2 linked regions of the Medicago truncatula genome follow. The protein of the gene in region 1 interacts with the protein of each later gene in a pairwise test. Links are inferred from orthologs where the notes say so. Each region holds a gene or a part of one and is shown on either strand. Other genes may lie near its edges. The genes, in order: protein ACCUMULATION AND REPLICATION OF CHLOROPLASTS 6, chloroplastic; cell division protein FtsZ homolog 2-1, chloroplastic.

What was found.
Region 2: the proteins of protein ACCUMULATION AND REPLICATION OF CHLOROPLASTS 6, chloroplastic (region 1) and cell division protein FtsZ homolog 2-1, chloroplastic interact in a two-hybrid assay, tested with the Arabidopsis thaliana proteins (3 studies listed by BioGRID, with this or other methods). The link is inferred for Medicago truncatula from reciprocal best matches to the Arabidopsis thaliana genes ARC6 and FTSZ2-1.

The regions. Positions count from the first base shown.
Region 1 is NC_053042.1:7,526,509-7,538,660, reverse strand, and holds the start of protein ACCUMULATION AND REPLICATION OF CHLOROPLASTS 6, chloroplastic, read left to right. Parts: upstream 1-6,553; 5' UTR 6,554-6,667; coding exon 6,668-7,180; intron 7,181-7,996; coding exon 7,997-8,221; intron 8,222-9,205; coding exon 9,206-9,466; intron 9,467-9,594; coding exon 9,595-10,558; intron 10,559-10,727; coding exon 10,728-10,864; intron 10,865-11,783; coding exon 11,784-12,074; 3' UTR 12,075-12,152. Other genes in the region: mediator of RNA polymerase II transcription subunit 11, read right to left, coding at 550-726, 2,502-2,618, 2,737-2,790. UniProt on the Arabidopsis thaliana protein: Component of the plastid division machinery consisting in a binary fission accomplished by the simultaneous constriction of the FtsZ ring on the stromal side of the inner envelope membrane, and the ARC5 ring on the cytosolic side of the outer envelope membrane.
Region 2 is NC_053048.1:49,366,148-49,378,047, forward strand, and holds the start of cell division protein FtsZ homolog 2-1, chloroplastic, read left to right. Parts: upstream 1-6,234; 5' UTR 6,235-6,406; intron 6,407-6,626; 5' UTR 6,627-6,702; coding exon 6,703-7,386; intron 7,387-8,834; coding exon 8,835-9,134; intron 9,135-9,524; coding exon 9,525-9,615; intron 9,616-10,142; coding exon 10,143-10,267; intron 10,268-11,053; coding exon 11,054-11,146; intron 11,147-11,699; coding exon 11,700-11,765; intron 11,766-11,839; coding exon 11,840-11,900. Other genes in the region: F-box/LRR-repeat protein At1g67190, read right to left, coding at 1,229-2,488. UniProt on the Arabidopsis thaliana protein: Exhibits GTPase activity which converts GTP ligands to GDP.

The sequences.
Region 1 (12,152 bases):
ATATACATGCTGATAATAGTGAATAGTGATACACGTTGTAATTAAAAGTTGTTGCGAGTTTAATTCGAAGTGTTTGTCCCATATATGAAAATTTCAGAATCAACAGCAATGCAAACACGCCATTTTTAATCCTGGTTTTTTCAACTTTGATGACATGTTCCTACCAGTTTAATTTCCGTGCCTAAAAAGGTGCTTATGAGTAGAGTTTTGTTAACTTGAGCAGAGTTTATATTATTGGAAGTTCTAATGGATTTCAGTCAAATAGTTGCTACTGCACTATGGCCACCATTGAGTTTCTCAAATGTCTTTAATCTTAAACATAGATAGCTAAGAATATTTATTTGAGTATGTGACTAATCATGAATACTAAATCCAGTGCTTCATAATCTGTCTTTTACATGTTTAGTGTACAATGCAAATAAATACATAAATAAGTCGCTCTCCTTGTTGAGGGCAACTTGAGTCGCTTGCAGCGCTGCAAAAACTCTAAATTACTGATTGAATTTTCAAAATCAACAGCTTAATAGGATAATTTAAGGAGCAAAATTTTCAGGCTGCTGCATTATGCTCATCTATAGTTTGTTTCATTGCCTCCAATTGTGACATGACATATTCCACCTTTTTGAAACATATCTCATTTGCTATTCTTGGGCCATAATCACACTTTTCAAATGGACGATATTCACAAGCACTTTTGATTTCATCACGCAACGCCACTTGGATGTCCTACAAAAAATAAAAAGAAAATGAAGGCTAAAGAATATTACAACATTATAGTAGGGTTTGAATATCAAATTCATAATGATGAACCAAAATAAGAACAGATTACATTGATCACAAATTCGCAGTATCATTTTCACTATTTAACCCTGAATAACTAAACCTGTTAGCAATTAGGGAGAAACTGAAACCATGTCATCGAAAACCACACACACACACGCACACGTATATACTCCAATAACTAACAGGACAGAACTCATTATTGTGAAATATACTAAACATTTTCAAACACAAATAATTCTTCTAGAGGTAGTTATTCCAAATACAATGCACTCAGAAGACCCTCTGTAGTTTGCACCAATTACCCAAACATGTACTTGGTTGTTTGGATCCAAGGTAAACTATTTTTTTTATAGAAATGGGACTTCATTTCATATCTTTAATTTGGATCTGTTGAATTTGATGTTCAATTTTCTTTCCATCGCATAACTAGTGTTGTTTGAGCAGTACTATGGCACATTCTGTCTTGGGTAATTTCAATATTGATTTTAAATTTGAATAAGAACATTATGAACGTAATGAACATTAGATTTCTCAGGATTCAAATACCAAACTTACAAAGAAGTGTGTTTATCACAACCAAACTTACAAAGGAGTGTGTTTTATCACAGCTGTGAAAACAAAGCTTGAAAATACACACCATGGAGAAACAGGACAATTTTAATGATAAACCATTGTTTAAGTGCCAATAGTCAAATCTTGAACTCAATTATACAAATTTGAAGGAATGCTGTGATAAGAGATATCTATGAATGTTCTATCAAGTTTTTTCAGATTTGATACCTAAAAAGAGGATAAAGCGGATATATGACCATTAATTGTAATTGAAAATCAACAGATAGAATTGTGATCAAGGTTATCAAGATCACAATTTAAATCGCAAAATCGTATGATCTTGCAATCCTACTCACATACTCTGATCAAGATTGTGTTTCTGAGTAAGATCAATGTGAGATTGTGATAAAAGAAATACTTGTATATAATGTAATCAATAGCAGATTGCGGAAAGTGCAATGCCAAAATCAGTTATGTGAAATAGCAAATAGTGTCACGGGAAAATGGTGGAAACTGCATTGCGGTTGAAAGAAGTCAATTATAATAAATAAAGTATGTTGCATACAAATGAAAGGGTTATGGGAATCACCACAAAAAAGGGGAATGGAGGCCAAGCATAGCTTATATATTGAAATGTCTACGTACATCGGTTGAGACTTGAGAGATGGCATGAATAAGTGTTTATAAGTGGGGGCAATCCTCACCTCACAAGCCGGTTTATATTGGGGCCTAACTTATCCTTACAAAATCTGCTTGTAAGGTGAGGGTTACCCACGCTTTATAAACACACAGGTCATATCTCTAAGTGATGTGGGACTAACTAACTCATCCTTACAAAACCGACTTGTAAGTTGAGGGCTACCCATGCTTTATAAACATACAGTTCATATCTCTAAGTGATGTGGGACTATATCCACCCCTTCAAACCCAATGGCCAACACAATGAGGTGTTGGAGGGTGCGATGAAGGCAACCCAATGGCCGCAATTAGGCGACTAGAGGCGGAATGCAATGAAGGCAGAATTTCCAATAGTTGTTACACAATAATTTTGGTGTTAATCGTTATATGATGTTAATTATTGAAATGGAACCACTTGAATCTATAGTTATATACCAGTGTAATCTTGTAATAAAAAGTGAATTATTGAAAGACAAAGCAAGGATTACCTTAATTAATTGCATGAATTCAAGACAGTGATTTTGGACAAGATCTTTTCTAGGACCAACTGGGCTTGCAAGCTCGTCCATCACTCCTCCTGCAAGCTCCAAAACCTTCACAATTCTCTATAAAAACACAAAAATCAAGCAAATATTAAGCAATTCTCTACAAAAAAAAAAAAAAAAACCAAGTATGAGTGGAAAGTTGTGTCACTCATGCGATGATGCTTGAAAATATTATTACCTTTTCCACATTCTCAAGTCGTTGCAATGAAGTTGTCTGGCCCTGTGAATCCATTGATGTTGCTTTCTACTTCAAATATGTACAATAAGTATTAGATCAAAACAAAATATTGCAGGAGCAGTAAGTACCAACTAAAATGCCATTTTTTTCTAATATCTTTAAGAACCGCACAAGTTAGATTATGCAGACTTATCATACCACAGACAGAAGATAAAATGTAAGCTCCAATCAATTTTAACGCAACACTAAATCATTTTTCTAAGCAGTAAACTAATGGTACGTTTGTTTGGTTTAAAAAAATCTACAGATTTGTTTAGAGAATCTTACATTCAAGTTCCTTGTTTCTAGAAAAGCTACTACTAGGAATGGCTTTTTTATTTTAAGGTTAAAAATGCTTTTTTTAACACAAACACACACTACTAAAATAATAAAAGTAATTTATGGGTTAAAAAAATAGTTTTTTCTCAACAAAAAAAAAAATCCCAAACAAGCCCTAACACAATTTTACAGTCTGATTTCTAGCAACAGCATCTGTTAATTGAAATTCACAGTTCTCATCCAAATTCAATGCTTATTTTGAAATGCTATCATATTTTTTACAGTAACAAAGACACTGAAGAATTTCTATCATATTACTATGAACCAATCAATTTTCACCTAGAACATAGAATACAACTTATAAAAGCTTCCCCCAAAATTATCATATAAAGATGAAAACAGTGAAGAAATTGCACACAAACCTGAGAGACTACGAGGGAACGCCGGAAAGAGAGGAAGAGGGAAGCTCGCGACTCGCAAATCACAACTGAGAAAGATGAGAACGCGGGGTGATGGTATTTTAGTAATATCCTCCTATTACGGTGAATATGGTCTACATTATGGTGGCATTTAACATGGAAAAGGGAAAGAGTTTCCCACCATGGGAAAACTAATTTTGACCATCAGATTAACTAGAGAACACAACTTTATCATAGACCATCAACACCAAATCCAACCATCCACCCTCTACATCTCATCTTCCTCCTTGCACCCACCACCCCATTATACCTTCTTCCACATTTACTCTCGCTCTAAATCTTTAAGTCAATTTTCACATCTTTAAATCTTTCCCCACGGTGGAATCACTTTCATCTCTAAATCTGATGTTTTAAAAGCTAATTTAATTTACTCTTTCTCTTTTAAGTAATTCATGACATGAAATCAATTTCAAGCTTTTCTCGACATAGTTTTAGCAGGATCATGTAGATAGCAAAATTTTAGTGAGTAAAAGACACCAATGCATTCCTAAGACTTTGGTCAAACCTCAGCTCCATAATCCGACCCATATTTACATTAACCCACTAAAGAAATACCAAAGGATGATATGTGGTAGAAATGTGTGATACAAGCTCCTGGAATGGTAGTCATGGTTGTTCAGAATTTTCAATAAAGACAGCTGGTGGTGGTTGGATAAGTCATGGAGGATAGAGAAATTTTTTGGTGTTGATGGTCTATGATAAAACTGTGTTCTTTATTTAATCTAATGGTCAAAATTAGCTTTCCCATGGTGGGAAACTCTTTTCCTTTTCCATGCTAAATGCCACCCTACATTATAGTTATCTCGTCGATTTATTCGCTAAACTATTTAAATCAACTAAATTGTACTTACAAATATTCTCTCATTTTAATTTTAATATTTAATCCATCAACAATATTTGTTGTTTTTCATGAAAATTCAACGATTAAACCGATACTATATTTCTTCGTAGTTTAGGACCTTATTATATTTGAACATGTAGTCTAGCCTAACATATATATATATATATATATATATATATATATATATATATATATATTAGTGTCCAAATAGAAATAAGGGAGGACATGATTTGGTTTTGAAGAAAATCAATTCGAATTAAACTAAACCATTTCAACGGTTTGAAAAATTGAACCGAACTGTTTGAACTTTACGAATAATCGAATCGAACTAAAGTTAAGTTTCGATTAACCGTGGTGGGAGTGATCCGTAGACAGGGTTATGGTTCTTGTGAAACCCTGGTCAATCTTAAATTATTTCATTATCTTTTTTATTGATAATTTATTTGTGTATTTTGAAGTTTGACACTCTTATACTTGCATCGCGTTGAATAAACATTATTTAACTGAATAATTCAACCATCATATTATTTTACCATGTGTATCATGCTTATGTGTTATATCACATGTGTAAGAATATTTTGACTACTAACTACTATCATAAAGTTCATTATGACTTGTATCACAAGAAGATTCATCTACATTAATATCAAGATGAATTGCATCTCACAAAATGAATAAAAAAGATGTGCATCAATGAGCCAATGTATTTGATACAGCCTTGTGGTTTAATGGTTATATATTTTCCGAAATGCATCTTTTTTAAAAATCAATTTGTAACAAGAGAAATTTTATGATACTCTCTAATACTCTCTCTAACATTCAAACTTTTATTTGATAAAATCTATGTGAGTACAACAGATTTTATATAAGGTGGTGAGACCTACATCAGAGTTTTTTATTTTTTTATAGAAACTTAGCATGACAATGGGGAATCTAATTTTTTTTTAGAAGTAAATAAAAACTCGCCCAAATAGCATTGGAAATGGAAGGGGAAAATATTATTTAACCCTAAAAAGAATGGATCAAGATCAATTTAAAAAGAAAAAAAATGAAAAATAAAAATGGCTAAGCAGATGCAATCCACCTAGAGGATTTGTCAAAATCAATAAGTGAGTTAGTAACGAGTTAGAAGAGAACAAGTGAGAAAGTTGGTAGAAAAAACAATGCAAATTCACTAAACAGGTGAAAATTCGCTTAACAAACTTAAGGTGTCTTAACATACCATTTTTGAGATGGCAAAGATTTCACTTTGAAGAAAGGCCAATTCACTTAGGAAGTTGCAATATGCTAAGCGAATTTCCACTTTCCAAAACTTTATAAATACAAGTTCAAATCACATTTTCAGACGGACAACACAAGAGAGAATGAGAGCAACTAAGGAAGAGAATGGCAAACTTTCATCTTTAACAATCTTTCATTCTCTTGTCATGTGTTGTAAAACTATTATATATATGCTTAGCTAATTTTGTCTATTTCGAAAATGTCTCATCTTGTTAATTTTTTTTATTCCATCTATAAATAGCTGTAAATACTACTTAAAATTTACACACACAAATAAGATGTCTCGATCGTGAACGTCTCATACGTTGATTAATTTATAATACGAAGAAAAGAAAAACATAATTCGTTAACGTATAAGAAAACATTTATTCATTCCTACAAATAAAATAAAGTAATTTGTAAGACATGGATCAATAAGTAATTTGTATGAAAAACTTATAGTCTTAAAAAAAGAAAAAATTGTAAGACATGGATCAACCGACAATACTAATACTACTACATGATAAATCTTCAATATAATGTGTTACCCTAAATAATACCGATGTTTTTTTTTTTTTTTTTTTCTGGTCGGGTTTAAACACCGAACCTTATATAAATTTTGTATTATTCATAGCAACTAACTGAACTAAATTTATGAGAACATATAATATCCATACTACTACATCGTACACCCTCCGGTAACTATTATAAGTAAAACTTTGTATTTTAGATTCATTTAATTAATGATGTACATTGTCTTTATTATACACCACATGCATAATTTAATGAATGAATCTAAAACACAAAATTTTATTTATAATAGTGGCCGAAGGGTAGACATCTTTATCTAAATATTTTCATTTGGATTTAAATATGGATTTGAATAAAACAAGTTTGGATTTGAACCCTTGAGTTTCACTTCCTAACTTCTATGGTCACAAACAAGATTATTTTATTACACGTTGGATAGAACATAACTAGAGGAGAGAGAGGGAGAAGAAAGGGTTTTAACAAAAGTTCAAAGTTTTAAGCTATGGATGCTGCGGTGGTAACCGGCGTAACCATCGGCGTCAGCCTCTCCACTTCTCGCCGTCTCACACGCTTCTCCAAAAAACCTAACCGTCTCCATTCCTCCGCCGTCTCCGCCACCAGTAAATGGGCGGAGCGACTCATTTCCGATTTCCAATTCCTCGGCGACACCTCCTCTTCCTCCTCCACCACCACCTCCGCCACAGTCACTCTCACTCCTTCTTACCCTCCTCCGATAGAACGCCACGTGTCACTCCCTCTCGACCTGTACAAAATCCTCGGCGCCGAAACGCATTTTCTCGGTGATGGTATTCGGAGAGCTTATGAAGCGAAATTCTCGAAGCCTCCTCAGTATGCTTTCAGTAATGAAGCTTTGATTAGTCGTCGTCAGATTCTTCAAGCTGCTTGTGAAACCCTAGCTGATCCTGCTTCTAGAAGAGAGTATAATCAAAGCCTCGTCGACGATGAAGACGAAGATGAGGAATCTTCCATTCTCACTGAAATCCCTTTCGACAAAGTAAGCTTTCAATTTCATTCAATTCAATTCACATTTGAGTTTTGCTTCATTAAAAAATGATTAATTGTGTTAATTGCAATGATAATATGAGTTTCATTTACTAAAACACTTTTATTAGTGGAGTAGTGTAGTTAGAAGTATAAGATACAAAAAATTAGTTTAAGACAATGTTTTGCAAAAACAGTGAATAGTTGATAAGCAGCTTATAGTGGATGAGCTTATGGAAGATAAGCTAGATGATTGAATTTGTAGTGTTTGTAAACTTAGCGGTTAAACTAGCTTATATATATGAAATGACATGAAAAATATATATATTTAATTAATATATAATTTTTTTCAATTTAGATTATAAGGGTAAAATTGAGAGAGAAAATGGTAAGTTATAAACTACTTGAGTTAGCTTATAAAGAAACTTTAAGCTAGTAAAACTAAGTTATAAGCTCGCGACAAAATGACAATTGTCTTTTTCAATCAGACATAAGCTATAAACTCAGAAATGTGTCTTGGCAAACATACCTTGAGTGTCACATTTGAGCTCCGCTTCAAAAGAAAATGATTTATTGTGTGTGTTGATTTCAATGATAAAATGAGTTTCATTCACTAAACAATCCTTATTAATGTGGAGTATCTAGAAGAAATAAGATACAATTAATAAGGTTAAATTAGTGGGGAAAAAATAGTTAATGTTTCATTAGTGTTCTAAAGTGACTATTATTTTGGGATAGAAAAATATTGCAAATGAGACAATTATAACGAGACAGAGCGACTATTTGTTAATGTTAATGCAATGATTCTTTTTATTTTTGTGTTTTGTAGGTTCCTGGAGCTCTGTGCGTGTTGCAAGAAGCTGGAGAGACGGAGTTGGTGCTTCGGATTGGAGGGGGTTTACTGAGAGAGAGGTTACCGAAGATGTTTAAGCAAGATGTTGTGTTGGCTATGGCGCTTGCATATGTTGACGTTTCTAGGGATGCTATGGCTTTGTCCCCGCCAGATTTCATTGTTGCTTGTGAGATGCTGGAAAGGGCATTGAAACTTTTGCAGGTGAGAGATAATACCTAGTTTTCAGGCCTATAATAATGTAATTTACTTACAGTGATGCCTGTCTGGATTTAGCTTCTAGGATAAGAAAATACCATTATATGGTTTTAGATAATTGATTGATTGTAGACAAGTTAAATGAGAGATTTTTGAGAAATTTTGAAATGTATAGGCTAATTTCAACTTGTATGAGAAACAATTGTTTGAAAATTGATTGCTATTATACAACTCTTAATATTTTAATTTTGATAAGTATTTGCAGACAAGGTTATCCATACTTGACTCTACGAGTAGTAGAATAATACCCCGTAGACATAGAACATAGCCAGTGCCCCTTTTTGCAATTTGAAGTATTCAGAAATTGCACTGATTAGACAAACATATAGCTTTTTTTTAGTGGAGCCATACTATCTAGTATAAAGATTTGTTACCGAACTGAGTACAAAAATAAAGAAAAAGTATAACTATTGATGATGGTTCAATGTAAAAAGTAATAATCTACCCAGTTATTCAACCAATCTTAATTACCCATGCAACTTTTACAAAATCATTTCTTTTAAGCTTGCAATGTATTAGGCCATATATGTATGTTGTATATTTTTTATTAAACATTTTATAATGTTTAATGAATGTCCGTGGATTACTTGTTAGCAGGACTCGTTTACAATTTTGTGTAATCTTTCATGTCATTATTGTACTTAGCTTTCCTAATATTGATGTAATCTTCTTACTTATCACTATTGCCACAAAATTGATATGGTGCTGTTGTTGTATTATGGATGTGGAAGTAATAAGTACTTGGGTGAAATTTTGTATATTTGTCAAGTATAGTATTCCTTTTAAACTTTACTACTGTTGCATTTCCAAAATCTACACAATATTATTTTTGCATGTATATAATGTGCATTAAAACAATGTGTATAGCTTGAAGACTCAAATTGCAGTTCTGGTGCAATATGCTTTCTGATGACTCACTTGATCATGTAGGAAGAAGGGGCAAGCAGCCTAGCACCGGATTTACAAACACAAATTGATGAGACACTTGAAGAGATAACCCCACGTTGTGTATTAGAACTTTTAGCCTTGCCTCTTGATGATGAACATCGAGCGCGGAGAGAAGAAGGTCTCCAAGGTGTCCGCAACATTCTGTGGGCAGTTGGAGGTGGAGGAGCAGCAGCAATTGCTGGGAGTTTCACACGTGAGGATTTCATGAATGAGGCATTCCTGCATATGAAAGCTGCCGAACAGGTGTTCATAGAATATATTGTGCATGTTTTTTATTTTAATTTTCTTCCGCCCCCCTTAGTTTTTGTTTATGAAGGTTTTACATTTATCTCTTTCATTAATTCTTTTTATCTCCAATCTTTTTTTTTAAGGTCGAACTTTTTGTAGCAACACCTAGCAATATTCCAGCTGAAAGTTTTGAGGCCTATGGGGTTGCACTTGCATTGGTTGCACAAGCCTTTGTAGGTAAAAAGCCACATCTTATCCAAGATGCTGATAATTTATTCCATCAACTTCAACAAACTAAGGTAACAAATATGAGGAATGCTCCCTCTGTTTATACTCCCATGGAGATGGAGAAGAGAGAAGTTGATTTTGCATTAGAAAGGGGTCTGTGTGCACTGCTTGTTGGGGAGCTTGATCAATGTCGATCATGGTTGGGTCTCGATAGTGACAGCTCACCTTATCGAAACCCATCTATTATAGACTTTATTATGGAAAACGCAAAAGGTGATGAAGACAGTGATCTTCCTGGACTCTGTAAATTGTTGGAGACATGGTTGATGGAGGTGGTTTTCCCTAGGTTTAGAGATACTAAAGAGACAAACTTTAAGCTTGGAGATTACTATGATGACCCCACAGTGCTAAGATATCTAGAGAGGCTGGAGGGTGCTGGTCATTCACCCCTGGCTGCTGCAGCAGCTATAGCAAAAATTGGAGCTGAGGCTACTGCTGTTATTGGCCATGTCCAGGCTAGTGTAATAAAAGCATTAAAGAGGGTGTTTCCTGTTCGGTCTGATAATAAAATATTGACATATGAAGTAAATGGTGAGAAGGATCATTCCAGCCTTTCTGAAAATGAGGATCCCCTTAGATTATCAGATCAGAATCCTCCGGTCAATGTTGAGGTTTCTGGAATAAAAAATACTGCTGAGATAAATGATGGAAACTTTATTACTGATGAAATAAAAAATGCAAGTGTGAAGATCATGTGTGCTGGTGTAGCAATTGGACTCATAACTTTAGCTGGTTTGAAGATTTTACCTTCTAAAAATGGCTCGCCCGTTCTTCACAAAGTGACTGGTTCAGCAATTGCGTCAGATACTATCAATTTAGGTATGGTCTTTTTGAATCATCTACAACCACTGAAGTACTAGTACAGATATTTTCTTACTCGTGAGATGGATTCTATTATCAGAGATGTGAAATTAGGTTTCTGTAAGTTCATGATGTAAGCTTCTGGCAATAGTTGCTTATTGTATACATAACAGATTCAACTGTACAGGTCCTGTAGGAGATGAAGAATTAGGAGAGCAACTACCAAAAATGAGTGCAATGGTTGCAGAAGCTCTAGTCCGCAAGTGGCAATATATCAAATCCCAAGCTTTTGGACCTGACCATTGCCTAGGAAGATTGCAAGAGGTAAGGAATTTAGTTGGTCCTTTAAAATGGAGATGGGAATTACTAATTACACTCTTCTAAAATTTAGTGTGAATATGATCAATGCACCGATAATGTATTTTTCTTCTACAGTCTTGTTAAATATGGCAATTGTGCAATCATGTGTCGTGTTTGTTTCATCCTTGACCTCTTGTGCAATTATTTATGCGGGTCTATTGTTTTTCCTTTTCATTGAATCCCAATTTGGTACAACGGGATACCATTTAGGCTATGTTTTTTTAGTTGTGTCAGCAGGGGAATGAATCATTTCATAAGTTGAAAAGGAAGAAGTGGAATTAGAACTTTGTTGGAGGAGAATTTTTTGTTTTTTGTTTGGTAGGGAATCGTTAACTGTTTAGTGGTTTCTAAAAAATCATTTTGATGACGCGAGTATATTCCTTACCACATGGTATTTTTTAATTGGGTTTTAGTCCTCTCCATTCCCATACCCTCACACGGATAAAAATTGGGTGTTGGATTTTCATTTTGTCAACATTTTACAGTAAAACTGAACTGATATATCAGATTAGATACCAAAGTCAGGTTGAATTTTGTCAAGTATACATAACATGAGCCCTTGCATGGGATGGATCATATATTATATATATGTGCATAAATGGGCAGGGTGGCCTTTTCATGTGTAAGTATGTAGGGATATTGGTAACTGAGAAGCATTATGCAACTTCTGAATGAACTGTTATGATATTATATTACTTGTGGGTTTTTCTTTCTTTTGGACCAGTACTGAGTTTATTCTCTTTTGTTACTTCTTGACTGATTACCAATAATCTTGTGACAGTTTTATTTGGTGAATTATCTACTATCCTTTTTTTTTTTCCATAAACAATTTACCTACCATCTTTGCATATATGAAGTTTCACTGAAGTTTAAGATCTGCTAGGTGTTGGACGGCGAAATGTTGAAGATATGGACTGATCGAGCAGCTGAGATTGCAGAGCTTGGTTGGTCATATGACTACAACTTGGAGGATCTCAACATCGACAGTGTGACCATATCACAGAATGGGCGGCGTGCAGTAGTGGAAACAACTCTCAAAGAGTCTACCCACCTCACTGCTGTTGGTCATCCACAGCATGCTACTTCCAACAGCAGAACCTACACAACAAGATATGAAATGTCTTTTTCAGATTCAGGGTGGAAAATTATTGAAGGAGCTGTCCTTGAGTCGTAATTAGGTTTTGTAATATGTAATATATGTCAGGTTAGTACACTTCAATATTAACCCCCTCGAGCCTATGCCCACTGTCTT
Region 2 (11,900 bases), on another chromosome or scaffold:
CCTATCTATAATAGACTCACAAGTCACAGTGGATTGGCTTACGAGGATTGACCTAGTTAGTAATTTAGTTTGTGCATAAATGGTTCTGGAGTGATAAACTGATCGAGTGAATTGATTTTGTAAATTGATTCTGATTTTAAGTTTATTGAAGATAAAGTGATTTGTGTTTAGATATATTCATGTAATAATGAGTTGAACTTCAAATTTATGAGTAAAAATCAATTATAGAATCAGATGCTACAAATTTCAACTTCAAATAGAATAAATTCTGGAAGCAAAATCAACTATACTCCAAAACAATTAAACATGTCAATTAATTGGCACCTTTGGAAGAGAAACCAAATACACACTTATAGCGAGTGAGTTTAAGTTTCAATGTCGATGGACGTCATTGATAGATAAAACGTAAGTTAATACTCCATAAGCGTTTTTTGAACCTTTTAAGACTTTCTTTTTGTCCCTGGGTGAGTCTCCAAAACTCATCATAACTGAACTTTTTCTTCAATATTTACTTAAAATGGATTCAATCCTCATTCCTCCCCCTAAACTTTTTTAGCATTAAATTCCTCTATTATAAAGGTTATCACATATATGTTATTGGTATAGTGAAGCAGTAAAAAGCAACGTGAATATCAACAGCTCATAAGCCCCAGCCCCCCTTTTTCTTTGACACGGAATAAACTATAAAATGAAGGATTGTGGAAGGATTTTAAAAAATGACGAACACCGCAATTTAGACTGCAACATCATAATTTTGTCTCCACAATCGTAAAGTGACTGCAATTAATGTCGAAGCAAGGTCGAATCAAACTATTTGACTATCTATGATCATCCACAATATTTAGCATAGCTACTTTGATGTCTCCACAATTGTAAATCAAATGCAATTAAGGTTGAACCAAACTGTTTGATTAAGATCCTCCACAATATTTAGGACCACAACGCGACCCCAATTTAAATCCTTAGGTTGCAATGGTGTTATATTGGTATTTCGAAATATAGATCGAGGGGTAGAAGTTAAAGATAAACAACAACAACAACAACGAAACAAAAAAACAGAGATCTCTACATTACAAAGAATCTCTTACTTTACACCTGAGCAATGCTTGTGCTACTTGAGGAAAACGACACAAGAAAATCATGGAACATGAAAGTACCTTCTTGTCTGTCTCGCCGGATGAGATCAAACCAATACTTTGACGGCAATGAATGCATGTGGCTGAACCTCCTACTCATATTCAAACTCAAACTTTATATGACTATATTTTCTTCCTAGTTGAATCATGAATTCAGTGAATTTGGTAAAAGTTTGACACTCTTCATGTGTTTTGATCTCAGCAACATAGCCATAAATGACCATTTTTTTTAGATTAGGACATCCTTCCAAAAGTCCAGCTACCCAAACTGAGAAAAGATCACTGATTGTAGTCCATCCAAGTTCTAACACAACCACATTCATCAGAAAAGACAACCCTTGCAAGCCATAATGAAGCACTCCATCTTTCAAATCATAACTTAAGGAAAGGTGCGTCAATCTAGGAAAACAAACAGAAATGGTCTCTATATCAACAACTTCATCCTCGTCGTCAAAAACAACACTCCACAGCCGAAGCTTTTTTAACTTTGACGCTTTTGAGATCATATTATAAAAATTTTGCCACATAAATATGAAGTTACACACATCTACGATCTCAAGGTTTTCTGTATTATCTCCAATGTCAAGATGGATGACACTCACATCATCAAGCTTCAATACTTTCAATGTCCCCTTATTGATCAATTCAAAAGCATCAAAGGAACAATCTTTCAGATGCAGATTCTCGAGCATATCCGCCACTAATATGAGTTTATCAAAACTATATGACTCGACAAAGAAATCCTTCAAAGAAGAGCTGCTAAGCTCTATTGAAGCCTCTGAATCTGACATAGCGATTTCTGGACAAACGATAGACAAGGTTTCAAGTTTCGGACAGGCAGAAAGAAGAAGACTCAAATCCAACGCTGAGATGCTAACAAAACTCAACGACAGCGACTTTAAGCAAGGAAATTTATGATACTTCGGCTCAACACCCGAGATAGGATTGCTAGCCAGGGTCAAAACTTCCAATGTTTTCCTGCTGCATTTCTCAATGATATTGAAATTAGGGGATGTCCTCACATTATAACGTAGCTCGCGCAATGAATCCCTCGTATACATAAGCCAGGCAATGACAGGGGTAACAGAAAACTCATGCTCGTCGTCCATGAAAATTGTTAAGCACTGCAATCCTTTGGTTTGAAAAAGTGTACAAGTGATGAGCATTTCCAAGTGACTAGAGCAAATTTCGCGATATAGGGGCCAGTCAGATGTATTGAATGAAAGAGTTTGGAGGTGAGTCTGCCAAGCTTCTCTCCATTTCTTGCAAGTTAAGGATGCAATCAGAACATCCCTAGCAGACCCAAGATGGGATAATATGATACCAACCACTTCAACAGGAAGATCCTCCATAGCATAAAATAATTTAACAGAACCTGTATTTCAATCAAAAACAGTATAATTCATCAAAACATGACAAAAACAAATTAAAATAAACTCCAGCTTACGCAGGGTCCGGGATAGTGTAAAGACTTTTCACACTTTCAATTAATCATAACGATTCAATCGTTATAACAGTTCGATCATCAAAAAAGTTTGACTTTCATCATATTCTAACTTAAAAGTCATGATGATTTGTGATTGAATGATGGTGAATTTTTATTTTTTTTAATACTAACAGTGCTTCAAAATTTTCTCAATTAAAAAATAAAAAATTGGAACTTTATCATTGAAATAGCATGAGAATGAGATTATACAAAGTAATAGAAAGTGATAGTATGATACCAATCACTTCAACATGAAGGGTCTCCAATCCATTGCATAATAACAAAAGGTAACAGAACCAACCAAAATATCAATCAGAAACAGTCTGGTATATCAAAACCTACCAAAAAAATATAACAATAATGAATTAATTGAGTAAAAATCATAACTTTATCAATGAAATGACAGGGGAAGGAGATCATGTGAGTGAAATAGTATCTGGGTCATTAAAAAGATGAGAATTTTACCAATTTTTTATGCAGAGGATGTGAAGTTAGCATTGAATTGAATAATTAAAATGAAAGTGGAAAAGATTAGACGAAAGATAACAGTTAGAAGGGGCTTACTTGGATGATTAAAGGGTCGGCAAAGAAAAATTGAAATCGATCAGAGAGAGAGAGAGAGAGAGAGAGAGAGAGAGAGGGAGGGAGAGAGACGGGGAGGGAGAGAGAGCTGGAAGAAGAAGAAGAAGCGGCTCTCTCCTCAGACGAAGGGAAAATTTGGCTGTGTGGAAAGTTAAATTGGGTGGGTCTTCAAAACGTGTGCTATGATGTCACGTGCTAGGAAGAAGAAATGAATTAAAACACAGCAAAAAAATAACAAATCAGATATCTCGAAATACCTCTGAAATATATGATATATGTGAAATATCTTGCCAGAGTTTATAACATATATATATATTGGGTGGGTTTATAGCATGTAAAATCGCCCAAATCTACTTAATATAGGATTGGATCCTCTGCGGTTACTATAGGGTTAAGCGAAATCTCAGGACGGTTATCCTTATCAAAGATATGCATCTTGTACCTTAATTCATTCATCAAAAGCCTCCAATAGGCCAGCTTCCAAAGAAACAAGCGGATCGTCCAAATCGACTAAAACAACTTAGAAACGTTGATCTCGGGTGTGATTTTATTCATGATGAAGGAATATACTGATTTAAGCGATAATCTCCCCATTGGTATTACAAGTCCAATCAGGGGAAATATTCGTGTAGTTCATGTGATAGGAGGCTTCATGGGTATTTGGTTTGCGGAATTTCAAAATCGTTGACCCAAATTTGATTATAAGTTATAGCATTTTTGCTAATGTAACATAGATCCAATTTAAAACTTTAGTTATATGTGGCATTTATCCTTCATTTTTGAAAAAAAAAAATAAAAAATCTACATAACAAACACGTGTGGTAAATGGTGTGACATAAGGTTTAGCTAAATTAAGGTTTAGTCGAATCTCATAAAATTTAATCAAAAGTGTGTGAATATGAGACATGTGAATCTTTCCAAAGTTCAATGCGGTTCACATATGCTTTTTAAATGTCATGACAGGTCAAAGGCGCGTGGAACTTGACTATTCAACATTTTGTGTGTGTTCCATGGTTATAGAGTCATTAATCAAAACAAATATCTTTAAAGAGGCATGATCTAAGTCCATAACACATGCATGGATAAAGGGAAATGGAAATGTCGCAAGATACGGGGGAATTAGCCAACGTACGGTACCACGTACACCCAACAACATGAAGAATCGTGCAGAAACTGGAAAAGAGTCAATTGTGGTTAAATTTTATAGGTCGCAATGTTTTCGCCATCAGGACTAACTTTGTCTATATGTGCCACACTGTGCAAATTACTCAGACGCACATAGTCAATCAAACAAGTTATTTTTTGCAATTTTTATTCTTTATCTTTCTGCTTGTGCATCATTAGTTTAGTACCTCGCAAAAAAAAAAAACACAATTCTTAACACTCTTTGGAGAAATTTCGCAACTCACAGCTGAAAGACATAATTCATTCATTTGTCGTAGCCATTTGAAATTTAAAAGTGAATCACAACTGAGAAGTTAAGAACTCTTAGTCAATCACTCGACTAATTTTCAAGTCTGACATCATTTTTTTAGGGAAGTTTGAAAACATTTATATAGCAAGATAAGTGTAGTACTATAAAGACTTAAATGTATTTTTGGTCTCTCTATTTTGCCTAAATTAAAATTTTAATCTATGTATTTCTAAAATCGGGTCATTGGTCTCCTTGTTTCATAATTTTCATGATTTTATATCCTCCCTCAATTTGAGGTTTTTTTCTTCGAATCTTTCATCATCGTATGATTAGATGACACTCCATAACGAATCTCATAATAATCACTTCACGGCTGTTGACACTCCATAACAAATGTTTGAATTGCGACTAAGAGATGTATCCACATACCGTGGAGAAAATTATTTCTAGTCGAGAAAATCTACGAGAAACAAAAAAAAGTATATACATAAGTTGATTCTCAAAAAATCTATTTGTATCATTTTGACTTTTAAAAATTTGCATCTAATCATTCCTTATTAACATGTAAAATAAAGTCGAGAAGTTATTACCAACCAAAGTTGTCTAGAAAAATATGTTAGACTCCTACCAATGTTTATATTTAGTTTTTGATACACTTTGAATAAGATTAATTTCTCTGAAAGAACATATGTAAAACAGAAAAAAGAAAGGGAAAAAAGTAATGGAGTTATTATGAGGTTATAAAAAGTTGATCATAATAATAAGTTTAATAGATAAAAGGTTATGCAACTTCTTTGAGAGCTTAACTTGGTTTGTAGAGACATTGCATAATATATGCATGAGTCTCTGAGCATTTTATTTATTCATTTTAAGATGTAAATTTATAGCTACTAAACTATTTGAAGAAAAAAAAAGTAATACATATAAAACCTTCAAAGTTTTTTATTTTTAAATACAATACATTTAAAAAAGAAAGAAACTTATTTTATTTAAGGTATTTATCTCCTATAGAGGTTCAAATATATGGTAGACTAAAAAGAAAAAAAGCAATTTCACAAATGTTTTGTTGGTATAAAAAAAATATACACAAGAATATAATATTATGACACCATTAATATGTAAAATATATTCACAAATACTACATAGTATTGTTTTTTTATGCAAAAAAAGTTGAGGTGAATTACCAATGCAATGAATTGATTTAAATAGTAAAATATTTGATCCATTTAAATAATTGGTAATGTATTCGATCTCAAAATCTTGTATATGAAAATATTTTATTAGAAAGACAAAACTCACTTTTTATGTCTCACATATTCTTAAGAGAAATTAATAACATGTCTTCATCAAAATTAAGACAAATCTCAAAATTTAGTCATTTTATAGTCAATTTCATACCTATAGTAATATAATATTGAGAAGACAAAATTGTCTCAAGCACCGAAAGAATACAAAACGCTCTTTGTTTCGTTTCAAAAAAGAAAAGATAAGAGTTATTCACATTTTATTTGATGTAACGAACGTCGATTGTATATAGTGTAAGTTTAAGAGAATATTTACGAGTTCGTGAATGATAAAAATAAAATAAAAATGAAAGAAAAGAACGTGAGTCACCCCACATTTTCATTTCGTTATCAAGAACAATGGACAGCTAAGAAAATAGACCGTGTTTGTTGTGAAATAACAAAACCCTCTTTTTCTTTGGTTCCACCATCAATCACTCACTCACTCACTCACTCGAATGTTACTCTCGCTTTCCCAATACATCATCTTCAATCCATTCCTCAGGTTTTTCTTCTCTTCTCAATTCTTTACCACTTTTACTTCTCACTTATCAATTCGCACCACGCTTCTTCAATTCTCTGCATTTCATTCACTTTTATCATTATCAGTACAATTAATTCGCTTTACTCTCTACCAGTTACACCTTACTGTAGTTACTTAATTATATTTGTCTTACCCTAAATAATATCTCAATTATTATTATTATTATTATTTTCATTAACAGGTACTACTGCAACCGAATTGCATCCTCCACACTTTGAATTTCTGATTTTTCTAAATTCACACATTAATTACCACTTATGAGTTTGGATACTGTAAGAATGGCTTCTTGTTTTGCACCTACGAATTCAAGAAATTCAGCAGGGGTACTCGCTGTTAATGGAGGAAGAAAACTGTTAGAAAATCATCACATTAACAAATCATGTTTCGTCAAAATTCACGAAAATAAGTTTGCATTTTCTAGCGTTAACAACAGAAAGTGTGGTTTGTTTCAAGTGAAGTCGACAGGGTTACCGAATTCGCACAGTGTCAGTCCTTATCATCATAGCAAAGACCCTTTTTTGGATCTTCATCCTGAGATTTCAATGCTTAGAGGAGAAGGAAGCAGTGGATTAAACAACTCTACGCGTCCGAGAAAGGATACGTCCGGTGGTGATGTGATGGAAGGGTTGGAAGACAATTTGACTCCGAGTAATTATAATGAAGCGAAGATTAAGGTTATTGGTGTGGGTGGTGGTGGATCGAATGCTGTGAATCGTATGATTGAGAGTTCCATGAATGGTGTGGAGTTTTGGATTGTTAATACTGATGTTCAGGCTATGAGAATGTCGCCTGTCAATTCTGAGAACCGGTTGCCAATTGGTCAAGAGCTTACACGAGGTCTTGGTGCTGGTGGCAACCCGGAGATTGGTATGAATGCTGCTAAAGAAAGTAAAGATTCGATACAAGAGGCGGTTTATGGAGCTGATATGGTCTTTGTTACTGTATGTTCAACCACTTTCCTTCCATTATGGCTGTTCTGCATTACAGTTTTACATTATGAATTATATATTTAGTATACTGCATACTTCTGAACATTACCATGCGTTGACATGATTTATACGCTTTCTTATAATACTGAAGTAATTTTTTCCGTCAATTTAGGACTCAGTAGAATAGAGTAAATAGTAATACATGATTGGTAGGAAAGAATGGGCGTGGTAATCTATTGTGTAGTGTGAGGAGAAATAGGCCTCAGTATTCCATAAAGGGGTTATCTATTTGGCTCATTGTGAAGCTGTGCTCTTTTCTACGTGCCTTTTCTGTGGTAGTATTCAAGTGTTTGATCTGAGTTATCATAGCTTTATACTTTATCATGCATTGTTTATCTGTCCATTCATGTCAATCATTTTTTTGTTCTGTACTGTTGCATTTCTTCAAAATGTTAGAATTCAAGATTATTCTGAACTACTATAAGTTAGGCTTTTTATCTCTTTCATTTCAATGTTCAGTCTTAAATAATACTAGACTGATGGATTTTTTGTTGAGGGGGGTACTTAATAGGGGGTGAAGCAAAAGTTTGTACTGTCAAAACAAAAATATCATTAGTATCAGGATATCTGTCAGTCCAAACTTCTTCACTTAAATGAAATCAACCCAGGCGCATGCTTATGTATGAGAATTCTAATGTATAAAAATTGATTCAACTCCTTACAATATACAACAACTTCGCTCATAGTAATATAATAACTTTGTGTCCCCGTGAGCTTTGCTCAGTTGGTAGGGACATTGCCTAATATATGCAGGGGCCAGGGTTTGAACCCCGGACGCCCCACTTATTCTCCTTAAAAAGAGAATTTATAGCCACTAGGCAGTGGCTACTTGACCAAAAAAAAAACGTTATGTAAAAATTATAAAATGACGTATACATCAATCCCCATACAACTAGGTTGCTGGCATCTCCACTTCAATTGGAAGCTCGTTTTGTGCTAAAAGGCACTTTCTCCTTCACTTGTTTATTTGTCGAAACTCAAAAGAGTATATTTCATGACAGATGACTACACTTAGATTGTCAACTTATCTAAATCTGCTATCGAAATATCATTTCCCTAGGATGTCACTTTAAATTATCAAAATTATGCTTTTTTGTAAAATGGAAGAGATTTGCAATTTCCAATACTGTGATGGACTGAAGTTCAAAATATAGTTTATTAGACTATAATATAATTTTTTTATGAAACCTGTGCATTTTTAAATTAGTTTTATGTGATATTCCTTATGGGTTTTAGAAGACGAATTATTGAAATGTGTATGAAATTCTAGTCTGTATGATTTTTTTTTAGTCAATGCCTTTGTGGATTTTTCAGAATTGGGAATAGACACGGCTGCGGTTCCAAATTGTTATTCGTTGGTATATTTTGATAAATTTGAAAATCAAAACTTATTTATGTAGGCTGGAATGGGTGGAGGAACTGGTACTGGTGCAGCCCCAGTTATTGCTGGTATCACAAAGTCAATGGGTATACTAACTGTTGGTATTGTCACAACCCCTTTCTCGTTTGAAGGACGGCGGAGGGCAGTTCAAGCACAAGAAGGAATTGCAGCCTTAAGAGACAATGTTGATACCCTGATAGTTATTCCAAATGACAAGTTGCTTACTGCAGTTTCTCAGTCTACCCCTGTAACTGAAGCATTCAATCTGGCTGATGATATTCTTCGACAAGGTGTTCGTGGCATTTCTGATATTATTACGGTATGGAATCATAAATTTCTTTGGACATGAACTGATACCTCTCTGTTGTCGCTTTGTTTAGTTTTTTCACGTTAAATTCTGATTGTATACTAGTAAAAGGATGAAAGAGAGGGAACCCTAATTGCATCTTTATTTATTTTGAGTTTTGACATATCCGGTAGTCCCCTGATCCACATTTGGTTGTTGAGTTTTTTTATTATGTTCGTTCAAAATTGTGTTACCATTAGTTTATGTATTAACTAAATTGATATATTTTTTGTTATCAGTTTTAGATGCGTTTTGATAAAACAACATAATAAGATGTCCTGATAATACTTTCCCCATGGCTCAAAGCTGAAGGTGTCTTTTTTTGAATTATAAATGCCTGTGAATTTTGTTATTTAAATGCAGATACCCGGGTTGGTGAATGTCGACTTTGCCGATGTTAGAGCTATAATGGCTAATGCAGGTTCTTCACTTATGGGGATAGGAACTGCAACTGGTATGTATGCAAACTGCTGTTGGGGTTGCAATACTGCTCCTGAGTCCAGATCTTCTATTTGACCCAAATAATATTTCTGAAACCTATAGTTCGCTTACATAATACATGTAGATTTTGGTGTAATACTCAAATTATATAGGACTACCAAATGTTATATTCGCATATCATATGGTGTGCATGTCTATAACTGAAGGTTTTTACGGCCAAAGTTGTTTTAGAGGATAGCTGGCATTGCAATGAAATTATTCTTTGACATAAGAAATCCAAACAAAACAATTTAAAGGTTGCAAAATTAACTCTCATGAGTCATGCACACTTCAAAATTCATGGAGATGCACACATGTTGATGGTGAATATGCTTTAATGTTCTTCAATCAGAAAATTTCACATTTTTACGTCACTTTCTGTTACCTGACTAAAATATGAATGTATTACCCTTTGCTTAGTCAGAACTGATGAGCACATTATTATTGTCCATGGTTACATGTATCATTGAAATTTATCTCTAGCTTCTTTTTGTATTGAAGGGAAAACGAGGGCAAGAGATGCTGCATTAAATGCTATCCAGTCGCCCTTACTAGATATTGGTATAGAGAGGGCCACTGGAATTGTATGGAACATAACTGGTGGAAGTGATCTGACCTTGTTTGAGGTAGCTGGCTACCCCTCTGACCCTTACAGATTTATCCTTTGTTAAATATTTGTTAGTTACATCTTTAGTTCCGTTCACAGGATGTTTCTCTCTCCTTTTTTTTTACAAGTTTATTCTCCCTCTGTTGATTCAAAATTTAGATGATCTAAGGATCATGGGAAGTGGTCAGGAGCAACATGCACTGAATTAAGTTAGATTTCCCCCCTTACAACAGCATGCAAATTACATTCGAACAGAAGAAACTAACATATATCTAATAGGGGGCATTTCGAGAATTATAACATATATTTATGAGAATATGCATGGAAAACCATATAAAAATTCTAGTTATTTTTAGGAATTTAAAAAAAAAATCCCAATAATTTTAAATGTTAACCAAAAGTTTATTTTAACTGACTTGGTCTCCTGGTTCTATCACTATATATTCCTTTAATATCATTACCAGCCAGCCAGGCAGGGATGTATTTTCTTTTCTCAATTACTTGGAAACAAACACACTGGTGTATATAATTTGTTTTTGTAAAAAAAAATTCCTCTGTCCTCTAGTCCAAGTCCAATTAATATAGCACTGTTATCTTGCTTTTCCTGTGAGCTATTTATAAACATGAGTTTTGAAGTGGATGGTTGTTTAAACTTTAAAGCATGCTTTGGCATCCATGCTGTGAACAACGAAATATAATGAACAAACTTTTTATTCTGAACTCTGACTAACTGTCTGCGTCATGATCTGCTCTATATTAAATTCATCATACTCTTGTATCTAAGATGGTCCTTTATTATGTACAGGTAAATGCCGCAGCAGAAGTTATATACGACCTTGTAGACCCCACTGCCAATTTAATATTTGGAGCAGTAATAGATCCATCACTTAGTGGTCAGGTAAGTTAAACTATGTAAACCCTTAAATGTTATTTGTATGAAATATGAATATGAACTTCTCTATGTTATGTAAATATTTTTCCTGAAATGAATTAGGCAACATTACCCTGGTGTAGTGTGCCAAGAAACAGTAGATTTTCTGCACTCAATCCTAGATACAAAAGTTCTAAATTCTTTAACCGGATCATCTCTTTCTGTTGTGTTACTTTTGTCAAAGAAATCTAGCTTCCGGCTGGTTCCTCTTATACTCTTTTTATTTTTAAACAAACACTGAACACCATTTTTTGTTCGGAAAAATTGCACCCACCTCTCGTCGGGTTTGTTTAAATGACAAACACACCTCCTCTATTGTTACGAAATAGAAGGGAAGTGTGTGTAATTGAGGAAAAGTCAGTTTCATGTAAAATTTGTTCTAGAAGTAACTATATATTCTCACTCACAATCTATCTTCTGTGCAATTCCATGAAAAAAGTTAACTCAACGAGCACTTTCATTAGTTAAATTTTTGTATATTGTATACCTATGGTGAACCATGTCATTTGGTTTCATATAGGTGAGCATAACATTGATTGCTACTGGATTCAAGCGTCAAGAGGAAAGTGAAGCGAGACCCGTACAGGTATGTCTTAGCCCCCTAACCCTCCCCCCTCTATGATGTCATACCCATAATTGTGGTTTTTGTCAAAAATGCAGGCCAATCAACTCACACAAGGAGATACCGTTGTCAGTCGGCGATCTTCCACTTTCACTGATG